Linked DNA regions of Drosophila melanogaster. The protein of the gene in region 3 interacts with the protein of the main gene of each other region in a pairwise test. Each region holds a gene or a part of one and is shown on either strand. Other genes may lie near its edges.

What was found.
Region 1: the proteins of Tango11 (region 3) and CG4069 interact in a two-hybrid assay, tested with the Drosophila melanogaster proteins (one large-scale study listed by BioGRID).
Region 2: the proteins of Tango11 (region 3) and Acp26Aa interact in a two-hybrid assay, tested with the Drosophila melanogaster proteins (one large-scale study listed by BioGRID).

Annotation. Positions count from the first base shown.
Region 1 is NT_037436.4:12,534,405-12,539,990, forward strand, and holds CG4069 (uncharacterized protein), read right to left. Parts: upstream 2,912-5,586; 5' UTR 2,819-2,911; coding exon 2,705-2,818; intron 2,641-2,704; coding exon 2,335-2,640; intron 2,277-2,334; coding exon 1,856-2,276; intron 1,797-1,855; coding exon 1,108-1,796; 3' UTR 1,022-1,107; downstream 1-1,021. Other genes in the region: Pmm2 (phosphomannomutase type 2), read left to right, coding at 251-1,015; sowah (sosondowah), read right to left, coding at 3,411-4,084, 4,146-4,172, 5,218-5,586.
Region 2 is NT_033779.5:5,891,655-5,896,525, forward strand, and holds Acp26Aa (accessory gland protein 26Aa), read right to left. Parts: upstream 2,243-4,871; 5' UTR 2,218-2,242; coding exon 2,184-2,217; intron 2,128-2,183; coding exon 1,367-2,127; 3' UTR 1,229-1,366; downstream 1-1,228. Other genes in the region: Acp26Ab (accessory gland protein 26Ab), read right to left, coding at 850-1,091, 1,153-1,183. UniProt on the Drosophila melanogaster protein: Male seminal protein which enhances ovulation in female Drosophila by stimulating the release of oocytes by the ovary following mating.
Region 3 is NT_033778.4:21,715,955-21,723,040, forward strand, and holds Tango11 (transport and golgi organization 11), read right to left. Parts: upstream 4,010-7,086; 5' UTR 3,901-4,009; intron 3,892-3,900; exon of another isoform or gene 3,730-3,891; 5' UTR 3,682-3,729; coding exon 3,127-3,681; intron 2,879-3,126; exon of another isoform or gene 2,781-2,878; coding exon of another isoform or gene 1,977-2,780; exon of another isoform or gene 1,805-1,976; coding exon of another isoform or gene 1,802-1,804; intron 1,743-1,801; coding exon 1,464-1,742; 3' UTR 826-1,463; downstream 1-825. Other genes in the region: CG30398 (uncharacterized protein), read left to right, coding at 1,977-2,780; LBR (lamin B receptor), read left to right, coding at 4,948-5,373, 5,904-7,086. UniProt on the Drosophila melanogaster protein: May play a role in mitochondrial and peroxisomal fission.

The DNA.
Region 1 (5,586 bases), on a different chromosome or scaffold from region 3:
AATGATTGTGCTTGAATGTTTATACTCTCATTGTTTTAAATAGTAAACCTAACGTAAAAGGCAATTCAAAACATTAATTTTGATTGCACTTGGATTCCGGAACTGGTTCCCCTTGCCGGTGCATCGAAAGCTTTAGGGGATTTCTCACCACTGCGTTGCCGCTTGTAAAATTCTTTATCTCGAATCATACGTGGACATAAATATCTGGATATTAAACACCTGCTGATTTACCACAAAATTTAAATGCAAAATGACCACCGCCGCATTGAAGCGTGATGAAATCCTGCTGCTCTTCGACGTGGACGGCACGTTAACGATGCCCAGATCCGTGGTCACTCCGGAGTTCGAGGAGTTCTTCTACTCGCGGGTTAAGCCGAGGGCGACCATCGGAATCGTCGGAGGCTCGGATCTGGAGAAGATGTTCGAGCAGCTGAATGGCAGGAAGATACTCAACGAGTTCGACTTCATATTCCCGGAAAATGGGCTGGTGCAGATTGAGGGCGGAAAGGAGGTGGGAAAGCAGAATATCATCATGCATTTGGGCGAGGAGACGGTGAAGCGTTTCATCAACTTTGTGCTGCGCTATCTGTCCGAACTGGATGTGCCCATCAAGAGGGGCACCTTTATCGAATTCCGGAATGGCATGATGAACGTTTGTCCCATTGGCAGGCAGTGCACTCGGGAGGAGCGCAACATGTTCGCCGAGTACGACATTGAGCACAAGGTGCGCGAGAAAATGATCAAGGACCTGAAGCAGGAGTTTGCCGATGTGGATCTCACGTACTCGATTGGTGGTCAGATCAGCTTCGATGTCTTCCCGCATGGTTGGGACAAGACCTACTGCCTGCGACACATCGAAGCGCACTACAAGTTCAAGGAAATCCACTTCTTTGGCGATAAAACGGAGCCGGGCGGCAATGACTATGAGATCTATAGCGATCCTCGAACCATCAGCCATAGGGTATATACTCCCAAGGATACGCAACGCATTCTCACCGAGATTCTGGAGCTGTGAGAATTTCGAGCTTACTCAGCAGTTGAAAATATTCCATTTTTATACATGTGTACAATTGTTAACCAAATTTAATATATAGTCACTGGAAATTCTTAATCCGTGTCCATGTCCGAGCTGCTGCTGGAGATATCCTCCTCGCTGCCACTGCACTCCTCGTCGGAGCTGCTGCTGTCGCTATCCTCCCATTCGTGGCCCTTCAAGCTATTGGGGATTAGCACCTTCCATTCCAGTTTGTGCAAGTCCAGGGCGTAGAAATCGTTGTAGGTCAACTGCTTGTCGTCCTCTTCGAAGATGCCACCGAAAATATACAGCGTTCCCTTGCACACGCACATGCCGGGATTCATGCGCGGAGATGGCACATTCGTCGGCTTGGGTTTGGCGAATAGGCTGGGTATTTTGGACACGAATGGCGTGGTACTGGTACTGGGACCGCCAACGGTGACCGTGAAAATGCCATCCGTGGTGGTGGTCACTGGCTTATCAACAGCCGACATCTCCACATCTTTGCTCTCCTCCGAATCCTTTTTCTCAGCGCTGCTGCTTTTAGTTTGGATCTCCTGCAATCTCCATGTTTGGGAGGTCAAATCGAAGGCCAGGAGATCATCGCCGAACTGTCCGTGCACATCTTCGTCGTCCTCATCGACGTCCATAACGCCACCGAAGGTATAGGCCTTGCCATTCGCAGCCACAGTGCAGCCGACGCTGCTACGCGGCTTGGGCTTATATCCACCTGGTTTCACGGGTGCCCACTTGTACTTGTTGTCTGCATCGCCGGCGTTTTCTGAACGGAAACAGGAGATATTAATATAAGTAATATAAATCAGAGATTCTAAATCTTACTATCTTGACTCAAGACAAACATATCCGTGTGTGTTACTCCTCTGTCCGCCTCCTTCTTCATGGCGGCCCTCGAGTAACCGCCCCACACGTAGATCTTTCCCTCCGGAGAAGCTGCAATACAGCAACCGGAACGTGGAGATGGCACAATTGCACCTCCTATCTCCGCTTTAAGCCACTGATAGGATTCCAAAGAGAAGATGTGAACATCATTGAAGTAATGATACGACTGATTGTTGTCGTGAAAGCCACCGAAGATGAACAGGCGTTTCTTGGAGACGGTCATTCGATGTCCGCTCCGAGGACTTGGTCCATTGGGCGCAGCTATCCTCTCCCATTTGCGGGATTTCAGTGCGAACTTCCAGAGATCCTTGTAGTGATGGAACTGCAGCTGTGAGGGACTGGCATGCTCGCCACCAAACATCTGTAGAGTGCATATGGTAATTAACTTTTCACGGAGATCTCTTTAGCTGATAACTTACCCAGAGTTCTCCTCCATTGCTGGCCACAGCCACCATTTGGTGTCCACTTCTGGGCGTGGGTCCCGATGGCGATTTCAGCTGCCTCCACTCGACGGTTTTGGTGTTGTAAAAGAACAAATCGTTATACACTGTGGTTTTTGTGCCAGTGTACAGTTCGCCGCCAAACATGATGAGCTCCTCCTTTTCCGGATGGCAAACTAAGGTGAAATTGGATCGTGGAGTTGGTGGCGGGCAAACGGATTCACTGATGGCTTCAATCTTGCCCTCCTTGGCCTCCAGCAATTGGATGATATCAGCTATATTTGCCTGTGAAGTTTATTATTCGTTTAGTAAACATAATGTTATGGTTATTGCATTTTTTTGTTCGTACTTCTCCCAGTTTTTCCAGCATTTTCTTCTGCCGCGCCGCCTGCTTTTTGTCCGTTTTCATGGCCGTTTTCTCGGCCCCTTTGCCCTTCTTCTTGTTTTTGTCCTTTTTGCCCATGTCAAGTGTTTTATTTCAGCTCAAAAATTTAAATCAACAAACTTTTTTTGCCGCACGTGTAGCGTTTATAAATAAGAGAAGAGGAAGAGCTGTCTTCTAGTTTACCATATTTTCAGTATTTTCGACGGTATTATGAGAAATGTCTTAACGGTTATTTTTGAAAAGTGCGCGCGCAACGAAAAAATTTAAATTCTGAATTTTTTGCTCAAAATATTGAGATTTGGATATTTAAAAATAAATTCGGGTAAATTTGTATTATGAGTAATAACAAATAAAATATCAATACAATTAATTCATAAATGCATTAAAAAGCATACAAGCTTTATTTTCGATTAAAAAATACACATATTAAATGAAACATTATATTGGATGTCCCTAGAAAAGGGCACAAAATAGGAAATAACAAATGTTGGATACTTTTAAGATACAAACTTTTAGATACAAACACAAGAAAATGTAACGTCTAAATAATGGTCAATGCTTAAAGTATATATATTAGTTAATTGAAAAACAAATACTTTCACGATTCCATGGTCAATGTTAAAAGTTGTATGGTGGTATGTAGACTGTGCTAACAACAATATTCAGGTAATTAGGATTGCGAAGGATTGCTGCTCGAGGAACCGCGACAATTGACCGACCAGGTTGAGTCGAATCCGCAGGCGGAGTCCGAGTCGGAGTCCACGGCGAAGGATGCGGCGATCCCCTTGGGAGCACGCAACTGATTCGGGGTCGTAGGCATGCTGCTATAGCCACCATTCAGATTCGAGCTGGAGTTCGAGGAGCAGATGGAATCACGCGGCGAATCGGTGGTATTCGATGCATAGGACGAACGCTTCGAGGACTTATTCCGCTTGCTGATATACTCCACCGCCTTGGGCGGCGGCATTAGGTCCTCCGATCGATGCGGTATATTGTCCGCCGATCCCCACGACTTGTGCACCCCATCGTAGATGTTCCGGCTATTGGGCACACTCGCCCTCGACGGAAGGCCGCCGTTCGTGGCATAGGGTGTGCTCATCGCTGCCCTCTGATTCGGATGGCGACTCCGTGTCGTACCAACGTGGTGATGATGACGCTGATGAGGGGCTCGGTGAGATCGAGGGTGATGGCGATTTGCTGCTACCGCCGACCCGCCATTGCCATAGCCCGTCGGCGCCACCCCACTGCCATTGCCCACTCCCAAGAAGTTGCTGAACGCCTCGGTGGTCTTCTTTACCCGGACATTCAGAGAACCAATCCGTAGGAAGCCCAAATCTTTTTCGACTGCAATGGAAAAATATTATACTTAGTCATAAAATTTCATTTGCATTTAAGAGTGACTTACTTGCATGCTTTTTGCGAGCCTTGATTTCTGCAAAGTGGACAAAACAAAGAAATTTCATTAATATTTATTCATTTTTTTATATTAATCAATATTCAAATGAACGTGCATAAACTGAAAAATATTGCCTTTGGTTAGCGGACTTTTTGGAAACAATTATAAAATAATGCGAGCGATGAGCATAAACATTGAAAATAATACAAAGAAAACTTACCAAATTGGCAACGCAAACGGGAAATGCAACTCAAATGCTAGCAAAATATAACTAAAATACAAGTTTTAAAGCTACCAAAGTACAAAAAGCAAATAATATATATATATATATACAGGCTAAATATATAAAAGCTAATGTGGCTAATTCAACGTAAAGCTAGCAAAATAAATTGAACATCGCACAAAATCAACACTAAGGGTTTTGAAATACTCAAGATCGTTAGATCTCAACCTGCCTCCACGTTCCGTTGAGTCCGCCGCTGAATCGCATCGCTTGTATCTCTACATGCAGCAAAATCGAAAATAGATAGATAGATAGATAGATTGGATCCCATTTACTGACATTAATTACTGAGTCGATTTGGGGTTTGTATGCTCTACATTTCAGTAAGTTTGATGGATGTTTGCAAACGAGGGTAAATTATTATTATCTCCCAAAGCGCATTCTCTTTGTAAACTTAGTTAATTTTTTTTAGGATTATAGTACTTATTTATAAATTAATGCTTTTGTTTTTAAGGGGCCAGTAGTTTATTGTGTTTTTCCTTGCGATACACATGCGATTATTTATAAATATTTATGTACACAAAAGTGTGATTGCTTACATTAAGTTAATACACCTTGGTAAAAAAATATATACTATATTAAGGCCATGCTTTGGTACTTAAAAGCTAGTAAAGTTTAGTGATTATACAAAATTTCATAGATATGTAGATACCGATACCGGATCAGTTACAGTTTAAAAGTATATAGAATGTATAATATAGTACAGCCCCAACCAATTGTTGTAACATTGTTTTGACATACATATAAGTAGTATACATTAGCGCAATGTTTAGGATAGATTTTAGGATAGCAATTAACCGTGCTCCGGTGGGTTAGTAAATACATCTTTGGCCAACGGCCGACGGCTGCCACCTGCGGTGGCTCGAAAGGTCTTGCGCAGGAAGCTCTCCTTGCGACGCGTGCTGGCGCCACGGAATGGCACCGGCTGCCCCTCCATTTCGCATGGCAACAGATCACCGTCCTCGGTGGCGGGCTTAAAGATCCCCGAGATCGGCTGACCCGGCTGCTTCTTGGGCCGCCGACTGACCGTCATCGATTGGGAGCGGGAAACGGCACCACCGACGCCGCCAAGCGAACCACCGCTGATGGTGGCAAACCGATTCTGGGCCCGCTTCTTGCCCCGTGTTAGTGCACTGCCCAGTGTACCGCCGGTGATCTGACTACTCT
Region 2 (4,871 bases), on a different chromosome or scaffold from region 3:
TTAAGTCAGAAGATGGCCCACAAACTTTAGAGTATACATGGAAGAGATAGATTTTGAACATAACCCAAATTAAAAGTTCATTCGAAGCACATGATATTCAAATACCAGCAATAAAAGAGAAGAAATTTTCGTCTAAATATCATAAATTTGGGAAGCATTTGGAACTCAAGCAGCGAGAAAAGGGTTCGATCCTCCGACCGAAAGTATTCATAAATTTGTCAAACGAGACGCTCTCAAGCAGAGAAAGGTCATTTTAATAGCACGTAACACAACACTTTTACCTTTACAGAATTCCAGTTAAGGCCGAAATTCCACTCTACTTTTGTCGTGGAAATTAGGGCAGACGAACAAATCACCACGGGGACCACAGGTAGCTAAAAGCAGGTAAATGTCGGCCAAAAACCAAAAGAACCTGACCAAATGTATAAACTATGTTAAAGAGGCGCCACAGTATCGCATATTACTGATCCCATATTTGTGAAAGTTGAGCTAGACGAATCTTTATGACCCACAGGTCGAGTTTATGTCTAAAATGTATTTTATATTTATGTCCTTTCGTCTGCATTTATATGTATAACATTTTATATGTATAACTACAAATACCATATACCCCACTCTATATTTCAAATACAATTTTATCACAGCTTTGGAAAATATCGGAACTCTTATTTCAAAAGCTTCTTAGAGTCCATGTCCATTATAATATGGTAAATACTTTATTTGGGTTATTATATCTTTTAAATGATATATTACATATTGCATAGATACATAATATTTTGCTTGAAGTAACTGCGGTTAAAAAGCATATGCAATAATCGCTGTTTAAGATATTTGCTGGTGAATCCAAAATTATGCCATGTTCAGTTGCTGGCGCACACTCTCTATTTCATCAGGACTCATGACATCCGAGTTGAAGTCTGCTTTGTGAGTTTGTATCAAATGCCCAGTCGCATCGTTCACACTATCCTGAACACTGTAGTCGTATAGGGTTCTCAACATGCCATTCATCACTTTCTGGGATCTTGATTGTGAACTAGACTGAACGCTTATAAAGGGGGCAGCATCGCTAAATTGCCAAAGGCAAATGCAGGCTAAGTGATGAAAACTAAATTAGGCAAACTCTAAGAACCTCGAAGATCCTTACGAACTTACAGAAAATGCAGATCACCGCGAAGTAGTTCATTGTGGAAACGTATTCTCTAGACTGTAAAGAATCCAACCAGCACTTGGCCTAAGCGTTATGAATCGCATTTATTACGGCTAACAAGATCAGAAAAATAAGTAAGTGCGCAATTAGAAGGTCTTGCAATGACTCAATACTATTGTTTCTGTTCTTAAATGATGGGAAACCATATGATTTTAACTATTAAAGTGTTGGTAGATTCCCTTGGGAAGGATTTGTCTCCGTGGGTACATCGGTAGCGACTTTCGCGATTTCGTTATTGATCTTCTGACTAAGTTCTTTCAGAAGTGTTAGATATTTGTTACGGTAAGTGTTCCTGACGTTGGCTTCCTGAAACTGATTGGCGGCAGGTGGGGCGCTATCCTTACTAGAACGTTTCTTACACGGCTTTGTGGACTTTCGAGTGTTTTGCAGTTGCCCATTCAATTCCAAAAGTCTGCGGTTCACAGTATTTAGCTCGAGCTCTAAATCGAGGTTTAACTGTCGTACTTTGATAATATCCGTTTTTCTGGCCTCTATTTCTTTCATCAAGTATATGGAATGGTTCCGGAGAAGTAAACTATTGTTCTGCTCCGTTAGTAACCTCTGTTGCAGGGCCTTGAGCGCACTTTGATTGGATCCTTGATTTTTTTCTTTTGCCGGGAAATCATCTAGTCCTTTATTGAAAGGAATATTATTCAAGTCAATGGAAGAGCTTTTTAGTGATTTGGACCTATTGATTGGATAATCATCCAGCGGCAAATCAGAAATATCGATATCCATTATATAATCGCCCTTTTTCGCATCTTTCAGAGCTACATCATCTTTGGCTATTTTGGCCTGTGTCTCATCATTCTTGGGAGCAACATTTTTCAGAGATGCACTTTTCGTAGAATCACTTTTCAGGTGCATAGCTGAATCGAGTTGTTGCTCACTATCGCAGCTTGCCACTGTAAAAAGCAGCACTAAACGAAAAGATACTCGTTCTTAAATGTGCTCAAAAATGCATAAGTCAACTTACGTAAAATTGGAGAGCATAATAAAATCTGGTTCATTTCGAAGAAGTGGCTTCAGCTGAAGTAAGGTATTATTGCATTCCTTATATATACGAATTTCATGTTACATAAGCGCTTTTGCAACGGCTCTTGTTTCGTTCTGCTTGATATTTATAAATATGATCTTGTAGTATTGCAATTTTCAAAAAAAAAAAAAACATCATCAAAATATATAAATATTCGTTGAATATACATTTTAGTCCTGTAGTATTCTAGATATTAAGATATATACATTTTTCTGGCCTCCGGACGGATATCTTCGGTTTTTTTTATAAGATTCTTCTTGGCATCGGGTGCTTTAGTCGAGGCTAACAATTTTAAGACTTACGCAGTTCAAACAAATATACAAAGAAAAATGCCATAGTCGAGTATTTATTGAAATAATATATGTAAATATCAAATTCTTAGACAATCAATTTAACATGGTTTTCAACAATATAAAAGCGAGAAAAGTGTTGGTTTCTTTGAATTGCTGGTCGATTAAGGAAAATACCGTGTTAATTATACAAAATATGTTTTTACTATACCTTAAAATAGTTGCTATGTAGTTATAGATGCTGTACATAATTAATTACATAAAATCCGGCAATGTATATCTGAGATCATTGAAGTCACGATATATGTGTTACCGATGCAAACGCAATTCCCAAGCCAAATTAAAGAAAAATAAAAAAAAAGCAGATCATAAAAACGAACCATTGTCTTTAGCTAAAAGTGAAACTGCAATTGAAAAAACTTTCAGCATCCGCAGAGCGGCTAGAATGAGAAAAAATTATACTAAAATTTCGCCCACATGTCCACATATGTAAATTGAAAGGTTGCGCCTGCGCACGCGTCAAATTGAAAGCGAAATTGAACGTGGGATTCAGAAAACTGAGGCATGGCCATCTCGTGGGCGATCGGTCACTCTGTGAATCGTTTTGGATCCCCCATTTTGGGTAGGTGGCCACTGTTAATTGTTTAAAACATAGCGATTTATGCGCAAGTTGCTCGCATTTTGCGTGGTGTCTACGGAACGCTGCTTAAATGGCCGCTGCTTTCCACAAATGGTCAAAAGTCTTTATGCCTTGTAAATGCCTTGTAATCTTGGTCAAGAATGGTGTTATACGGACAGCAAACTGGAATTTACCTTAGAAGGAGAACGGAACCCAACATATTTTAGATAACTGCGCATTTAAAATTCAATTAAGTGGAAAAATTCATCAGCTAATCTTGATGAGAAATAAACTATTTAAAACTTAACCATACTATAATTTATATTCAAAAAGTAAATAGAACAAAGAAAATTTAACTAGTATGGCTTGAAATCTCAAATGCACATCTTACTATATGAAGTTATGATTATGTTTATTAACGTCGTTAGATGATTTTCATAGTAACTTTAAGATAGCCTTCTTTATTCCCAGTCACACCATTCGCATACAAATCTTATGTCTTATTTCTCATTTTGATTGCCGTATTATAATGACAGTGGCTCTGTGCATGCGACTCCCATTTGAAGCTCGCTTTCCACTGAAGTTTTCGGTTTCAATTTCCCATGGCAGCGCATCCCACTCGCAGCAGGCACACATATGTATTCATCACTACGATTTTCATCGCTTTTCAGCCCGAGTTCGAGCTGAGCTCACGCTTTCATTTGCGTTCGGAAAATGACCTACTTCCGGATTAGCATGCCCGGGCCACTTTTACTGTCGCTCGATCTGGAAAAGGGCGATGGATGGAGGGAATGGGATAGGGAATGGGAGCCATGGCATCGATGGGCACCGACCAGGGGCAGAAGCTAATGAGGTTGTCGCCGTTGTATCCACTTGATAATAAACATCCGCCGCGTTCCGCAGTGAGTAAGTGAGTGTTGCATGTTTGTTGCATTTAATTGTAATTTATTTTCCATCCCACAGAATGGACACGGCAAAGAACGGAAGCAAATATTTTCCGGTGGAAGCTGGCACAGCCAGCAGTTCCTGTACCATACCTTTTTGACCCTTTCCAGATATCAGTGATGCATTAATTGACTTTTCCTAGTGATCAACCATATCCTACCGTACTTAACTGACAGATTTTATTAGCTAAGTATATCAGACATGGAGAAGTTCACAGCTTCTGGTCTGATGCCCGAACAACATTTTCATCTTAAGTTAAAGCAGCCAAGGAATCTGCCCACTTGGGCAGATGACATCGAATGTAGTTCTTCGCTCGACTCCGCATTCGTCGGCTTTTGCTTAAAGGGAAAAATACCAAACAAAGGCAATTGCATTCGAGTGGATCGATCAGTGGTGGACCAGAATCAATGAACTCGAGGGAAGCCGGTGCAAATTGCTGGCTAATTTAGCCCAGCGCACGCGAAAAATGCGCAAAGAACGAGTTGCACTGCTGCCGACAAAAGGAAGCAGCCACTTCCTATTCAGAGGCGGCAAAAACACCTGAGCCTGGGGCTACCAGGGGAATGCCAATGATGACCCCACTGGTGACCCCCACTCGCAGTGGCAGCGGGCGACTCTTCACACCCAAGCTGGCATAATTGCCCGCATCGGAAGCGGGCAGGTTAATTAGCTTGGATTTGGGGGAATCCTCACCCCCTCACCAAAGGCCAGAAATCAAAGCGGAAATTGTTTATTAAACAAATCCACAGGCAGTTCTAATGGGCCGGGCAGCAT
Region 3 (7,086 bases):
ACACTGGTGGCAACACCACATCCAAACATCAGCAACCACAGTCCCCCTTAATAGAATACAAAGCCGCCAAGCCCGATCATATCTCATCGACAACTTGAACAACGAGATCTGTTGAACATTGTATCCACAATCACATACGCGAGAGAACAAAAATACGCGATAATAAGGAAAATTGTATTTATACACACGAGTTTTTAAGTTTATAGTAGTCGTTTATTTTATAATGCCCATATACAAAGAAGAGGACAACCGGCAGGAAAGGAGAAGAAATAAGATTAGCAGGATGTGCGTTGAGGTGTTTTTTTTTTCGATCCTGCGGCGTTTCGCCTGGAAAGGCGAGTCGTTCGGAAAATGAAAGAGAAAAGTAGTCCCCTTGCATATTATTTGTGTAAAGTAAACGATAATTCCATTATAAATAAAAAGATACAAACAATTGCATCTTGTTCTCTAAGTAGTTGGATGATAGCGATTGATCGAAGATCGGGTGGCAAAAGGGAAAGAAACAATCCACTTCACAGACAAAATACACGAAAAACAATACACACACCGCAAATGAATCGAACGAAATTTCGCTCAGGTCTTTTCGTCATTTTGCATTAAACTTAATGTTTAACGTCTTGTTAGCTAAAGATGTATAGCAGAAGAGGAAGTCGGAAGTTAGATGAGACAAGCAGATGTAATTGCATTTAATCGGTAGTTTTAATTGATTACTATACGTACTATTTAAAGAGAAAACCAACAAATTAAAATAAATACATTTTTTAAATGCGTTGAAAACCGAAATCTACTTATTTCCTGGTAGAAAATTAACGAAGCATATGGTTTGTTTTGGTACTTTAAACGTTTTATTTTAAATATCGTTATGAATTCATGCTACACTCTAAATGGATTTCCTTCGTTTCCGCTAGTTATGCAAAAATCAATGCAATGATTTCTGTGGGATTTAGTGTATAATATTATATTTATGTATATATTTAACTATTTATCGTATGGGATTTCGCATACAAATACCATTAAAGTTCTTGTTTTCACTTTGGGATTATCAAATGTTAACAGATCTAAAATATAAACAACCCTTTTAAACAATATCTTTTCAATGCAATGCTGCTGTGATGATTCGGATTCGTGTTGGGGGCTGCTCAGATGAAACACGTAGAGATTAAAGCTTAGATTTAGATACACGCTCCTTAAGTGCCAGATCTTACAAATTAAGTATGGGGGCCTTTGTTTTTTTCGTTTTCCACGGTGTACAAAACAGAACGATGTTGCGCTTATTTATTACGGAGCTTAGTCTACAAAATTATGGCAAACAAAAAACAAAGTCTCTCTCAGAGCCTTTCCACAAAAGAAACACAAAAGTCAAGAAACGAAAGAAGCTGTTCCAAAAAGGGTGTCCATAGCAAGGTGGTTGTCTTGGCACCCAGCGCAGATCGCTAACCATCATAGTGGGCTCTACATTGCGTCTAGTTGCGATTCAGCCAGAATATTGTCTTGAGAACGAAGTAGGCCAGGCCCAGACAGTAGACGATCTTCTCCCGCTGCGTGCGCTGTTCATTGTTGATCTCGATGTTCAGCACCCGGCGATTCAGCTTGGCCAGCTGGCGTCTCAGATACAGGATCTCCTCGTGGGGCGTCAGCTCGCCCATGGGCGTGCCCTCTCGGTGCGCCAGCATTGAGGCATCCAGGTTGTTGTGCTGCTGTTGATTCAGCTGCGAGCGCTTGCTGGCACTGCCTGTGGTCAACTGGAACACATAAGGTAGTCAAAGATAAGTTGCGCCAAATAGGATTTAGATGTGTGTACCATGTTAAGTGTTTGCTTTGTGAAAGTTTTCTGTTATCAATGTGAAGCAAGAGTCATTTTTCAGAGCTCCCCCAAATATTTCCGGTGTCAATATAAGCAATAAACATTCGAAAAAAAAAAAAACGCCCAACTCGAAATTTTCTGTATAGCCAACCAATTTCTTTCGATCCCAGCAATGACAACCAGTCCCAACGTAGCAGAAGTGGATGATGGCGAGCTGCCGAAACTGGAGGCGATAATCAGCGCGCTGAAATGCGAGCAGACGGGTCACATTATGGAGGCGATACTACTCTACGAGGAGAGCATCTTCAAATTGTCCCAGATGGCCGATGCGGAGCCGAGTCGCCGCCAGCTGTGTGGGAAGTATTTGAAGATGTACGAGGCGCGGGCCAAACAGCTGAGGGATCAGGTCAAGGGTCACTTGCACACCAGCCGTATGCTGGATCACATCACCATCGAGCAGGGTGCCAGGGGCAGAAGCTACCAGCGGCTGTTTGGTCCGTATTTGGACGATGCGGTTCGGGAGGCCCATCTCAACGAGCCACACCTCACGGAGCCACCACACTTTAGGAATTTGCTTAACTTTTTCGAGGTGCTGGTCAAGAACTGTCGCTATCTAAAGTATATTCGCCTCACTACGCGCCCAGATGCGACGGCGCCCAAGAATCAGTTGCAGATGCTGCAGCAAATGCAGAGCGATCTGGCCGGTGGCAACATCCAGATGAATTTCCAGATGGACGACAGTTTGCACGATCGCAAGATCGTTCTTAGCTCGGGAGTGGTCATTAAGATTGGCCGTGGCCTTCACTACTTCGAGCCCATGGAGGGTTCGTACAGTTTGGGTCTGTGCGATTTCGATTTTCGCAAGTGCCTGGCCACCGAGGTGGACATCTGGAAGTGTCGTCCTTTTGCGAGGCGCCTTAAGGATACACAGGAGGGCGAGGATCGACCGGAGGCACACGGCTACTCCAGCGATTAACAAAAAGTGAGAGTGTGTTTCCACACAGTCGATGGAAATTGGGTCAGCCGTCTTATCAAAGCCGTATTAGGAATTCAATAAAAACCAGCAGGCATGGTAATCTCTTTGCAAACTGAATGGGTGGCAAGCGCAGTGTGATCGCTATCTATCTATTATCTATTAACAATTTTGGTTGTTTTATTGCGTCATGTGTGGATCGCTAGGGTCTAGACTTCCATCAAATGAAGTGCTCTTTAACAGAAATCACAGAGTTGCTCATTCTGCCCATCGATTTAATTTACAAGCACTTGCAATTGAATTGAAAAACTAAAGGAAAATTGTTGCTTGTATGGCATATTTTACTCACCTGCGAGTCCGATTCAACGGAATTGGTGTCATTGCCTTGAAATCCCATACGGGCGACTCCATTGGCACGCACATATTGGGTGGCATGGACCTCCTCATCGTCGGCGTCCTCGTCGAGATCATTACCATACAAATGATGACCATTGGCCCGGATGGGCGAGCTCTCCTCGGAGGCCGAGGGAAAGTGTTGATCGGTGAGGGTGATAATGCGCGGTGGCGTCTGGACGCGCACCAATCCGACCGATGGGTTCTTGGGCAGAATGGAGTTCTCCAGCTGGATTTCCCGCGGAGCAGATCGCGTCTCCAGATGCTGATTGTGGCCCAGGACCACAATTCGATCCGGTACATTCATGTCGATCTTGTCGTGATAGTTCCAGGAGCTGATCATCCCGTTCTGGTTGGACAGCAGCAGATCCTCGTTGGAATACTCCCCGGTGGCCTTTATTCTTTTGGGAACCCGCATCTTGTCGTTAATCTCGTGGGCATATTTGGCGTCGCTGTAGAGATCATCGTCCAATCCATTGAACATGGGCGTCGGCGATTGCGGGGTCACCATGGCGATGTCCTGGGGAATCCTTTCAACTGATCCAATGGGCCTCACTTGCTTTTGGTTTTTCGTTGTTTGTCCAATTTTTTTTTTTTAGGTAGAAGGCGGCCGTGAGAGAGACGTTTTCATAACAAATTAATAACCAGAATTTGGCAAGCGCAACATTTTCGTCCGGCTTGTGTGCGTGTGTTTGTTGCGTATTGGGTTTTTCGAATGCTTTCTACTTACATTGCTCGGGAAATGACAGAAAAATGTCCGAGAAATCCGTAATAATTTACAATTTTTCTCCTGCCTTTTGTTATGTGTGTGAGGAGATTGATATAGAATGTGCTAAATAATACCAGGAATGACAGTCACTCTACTTCCACTCTACAGATCCGGCACTCTAGCTCCTTTTTAGCCAAATTAATTATCTACCTCAATATCAGTAGAAAACTAGGTATTTAAGAAGTTATTTCAGTTGTTTTGATTCATTTTATTAATATGTTTTTGTTTCTTGAAAAGTTTGCGGTATTCTTCTGTCTTGAACAAATAATTTACAACTCGATTTAAGCGACAACTTTGGTCTTTATAACCTACATATGTAAATAAAATGAGTACTGTTAGTCTTTGCAAAGATCAAATACTCCAAAAAGTTTTCTATCGATTTATAATACTTGCGCATTGGTATGGTTCGATTAATGTTTAAGGGAATGTAAAAATAAGTACAAGTACTTTTAATACTTTAAAATAATTAACCTTGAATACATTTTAAATTGTCTTAAAGTGCCCACTAAACCACTGTTAACGACACGCTGCGTGCTGTTAGGCGCCGTTCGGCGTTAGCCAACACTGAAAAATACCAACGCAGTGGGCCGCGCTCATTTTACAACAAAATTTTCTCATCCGCCGACAACTAGACGCGCGTCTTTTTTATCAAGTGATTTATGCTGAATTTACGGCGTTTCAATAGCCCCATAAAGTGAAAAACTACAAATAAATCCCATCAGAAGTGAGTTACTAAGTTGTGAAGCGTTAAAAGCTGTTTAAGCTAAGTTAAACATCGTTTAAAAACTGCCAGCCAAGAGGAAGAGAGCAAGAGAGAGAGCGCGTTCTGCCAGCGTCGCTGCCTGCGGAATGTACAGTTGCGGCAGCGACGTCGCTTTTCCTTTCGGCGCGCAAACACAAATAAATACAGAAAATTAGAGAAATAAAGAAAGCAAAGAAACTAGAGAAAACCACAGCGTTACTTAAGTACATTAATAGATTGTGTGTATTTTGTAAACTATAAATAACATGCAGCACTCGCCGAGCACAACGACTGATCATATCCATTTTGCAGCACGTTTTTTCGACCGCAATTCATACACCATGGATCGACGCCTGAGACGCCCGCGTCGCACGGAAGACGTGTCCAGCGGTCCACTTCTGGCCCAGTCCAAGCAGCCCAGCCTCCTGCCGGTGACCCGACGTACGGGCTCCGTGACAGCTGCGGGTGCCACCGCCACCGCCACCGCCACCGCTGGTCCCGCCACCCGGACACGTGCCTCCCCGTCACGCAACAAGGTCGTCGCACCGCCCTCGCCCGATCTTGGCCCGCGCACCCGTCGCTCCAGCCGGCCGAGGTCGTCGGTGGGTCCGCTGACCGGATCGGGATCTGGTTCCTCGCTGCCCATCAAGGCCGCCATCAAGGCACGCACACCCATCCCAGAGGTTTCCGAGGTGAGTTCTCCAGCACAAACCAGTTTTGCTGGCCGGTGGATAAGTGCTTAGCTATATTTGATCAGTATTCCAACCATCAGCAGTTTAGAATTTTGAAATCAATTGCTTTCAATATAAAAGCATAGCGAAATATTAGTTCTATTTAATTTCGATCGTTACAACCAATTAAACTACATAATTAACTGTAACTGTCCTACCTTTATTACAAATTTCGAGCTTCTGTTTCTGTGTGTTTTATGAAGCTGATAAGCAGCACCCACCGCCCTGCTTATCAGCTTAGAGTTCTGCCCTCATATGCTACCATAAGGAAATTCCGGGCTAAGATAACGGATTTGTAATTGTTGAGCTAAACTGCTGATTACAAAAATAGAGGGGAATCTGATAAGTGTACTCAAAACACCTTTAACCCAGTTTTGAGTACCCACATATTTTTGTACAATCATGTCCCTTTGTATATTCTTCTAAGGTTATATAGTTTCTGACTTTGTTTTATCACTTATTACATCTTTACTTATGATCTTAAATTACAGGTATCATCGCCTATTCGTTTGTCAACCAGCAATCTGCCCATGACATTGACCACCAACACATCCAGCGGCGCACCGAACAAAGCATTTAACACAAGCTCCGTGAACAGCGGCAACAGCTTCAGCCGTACCACTACCAGCAGCACCACCACAACCACGGAGCGCATCGAGATCCGTGCCGAGGGAGACGGCGAGGTGGACACGGATTCCATTCGCAAACGCATAACCGAACGACTGCGCAGATCGGTGTCGAAGACAATCTCAAATCTAGCTGGAACACCAGTGACAAACACCGAAGAGGGCAGTCGTTATAGTAGGAGTGTGTCCCGATCCGTCTACGACGATGAGAAGTCCTCCAAGCGTAGTTACTCTACGGGTGAAGAGGATATTGATGAGGAGGATGAATTGGAGGAGGATCAGTTCCGTAGTTTCAATGTAACCCGTAAATCGGCCACACCGGCGGAAATATCCTGCCGTCAGTTGAAGGCTCCTAGAGAATTTGGCGGTTGGCTAGGCGCCTTCCTGTTCCTGCTACTTCTGCCCACCGCCGTCTACTATTTGACATGGAGCTGTACGGCCAGAAACGCCTGTCAGTTTAAGCACCTCAATCTGGGTATACTACTGGATGTTAACTACCTAACGCGCCAGGTGTTCCAGCCACGAGTGGTGGGTGCCTTTGCCGCCTATCAGGTGGTGGTATTTCTGCTGGTGGCACTGCTACCAGGACGAAGGGTTCATCTCACCCGCGAGACCTACAAGTTTAATTGTCTAGCAGTTTCGCTTACGCTTTTGATTGCCAGTGGAGTGGCCGAGTATCTGAAGTATCCAGTGGTCACCTTCGTTCTGCGTCACTATCTGCGTTTCTGCATCTTTGGACTCGTTGGCGCCTTTGTGGCAGCTGCTTGGAGCTACTGGCTGGTGGACACCGCCAAGTACAATGTGCTGCGCCAAACGCTGACCAATGATTATGGCAGGACTGGCAGCTTTGTGGTGGACTTCGCGCTGGGCAGACAGCTCAATCCCAAGTGGCTAGGACGCGTGGATTGGAAACAGTTTCAGTACCGTCTCTCCCTGGTGACCACCTTGATCTATGCCACCTGCTACATCTACCAGACGCTCGTGTGGCCCCAGAAGCCGCAGCTGGGTGAACAGGAGGGCTATCTCTACCAGGCCAAATACTACTGGA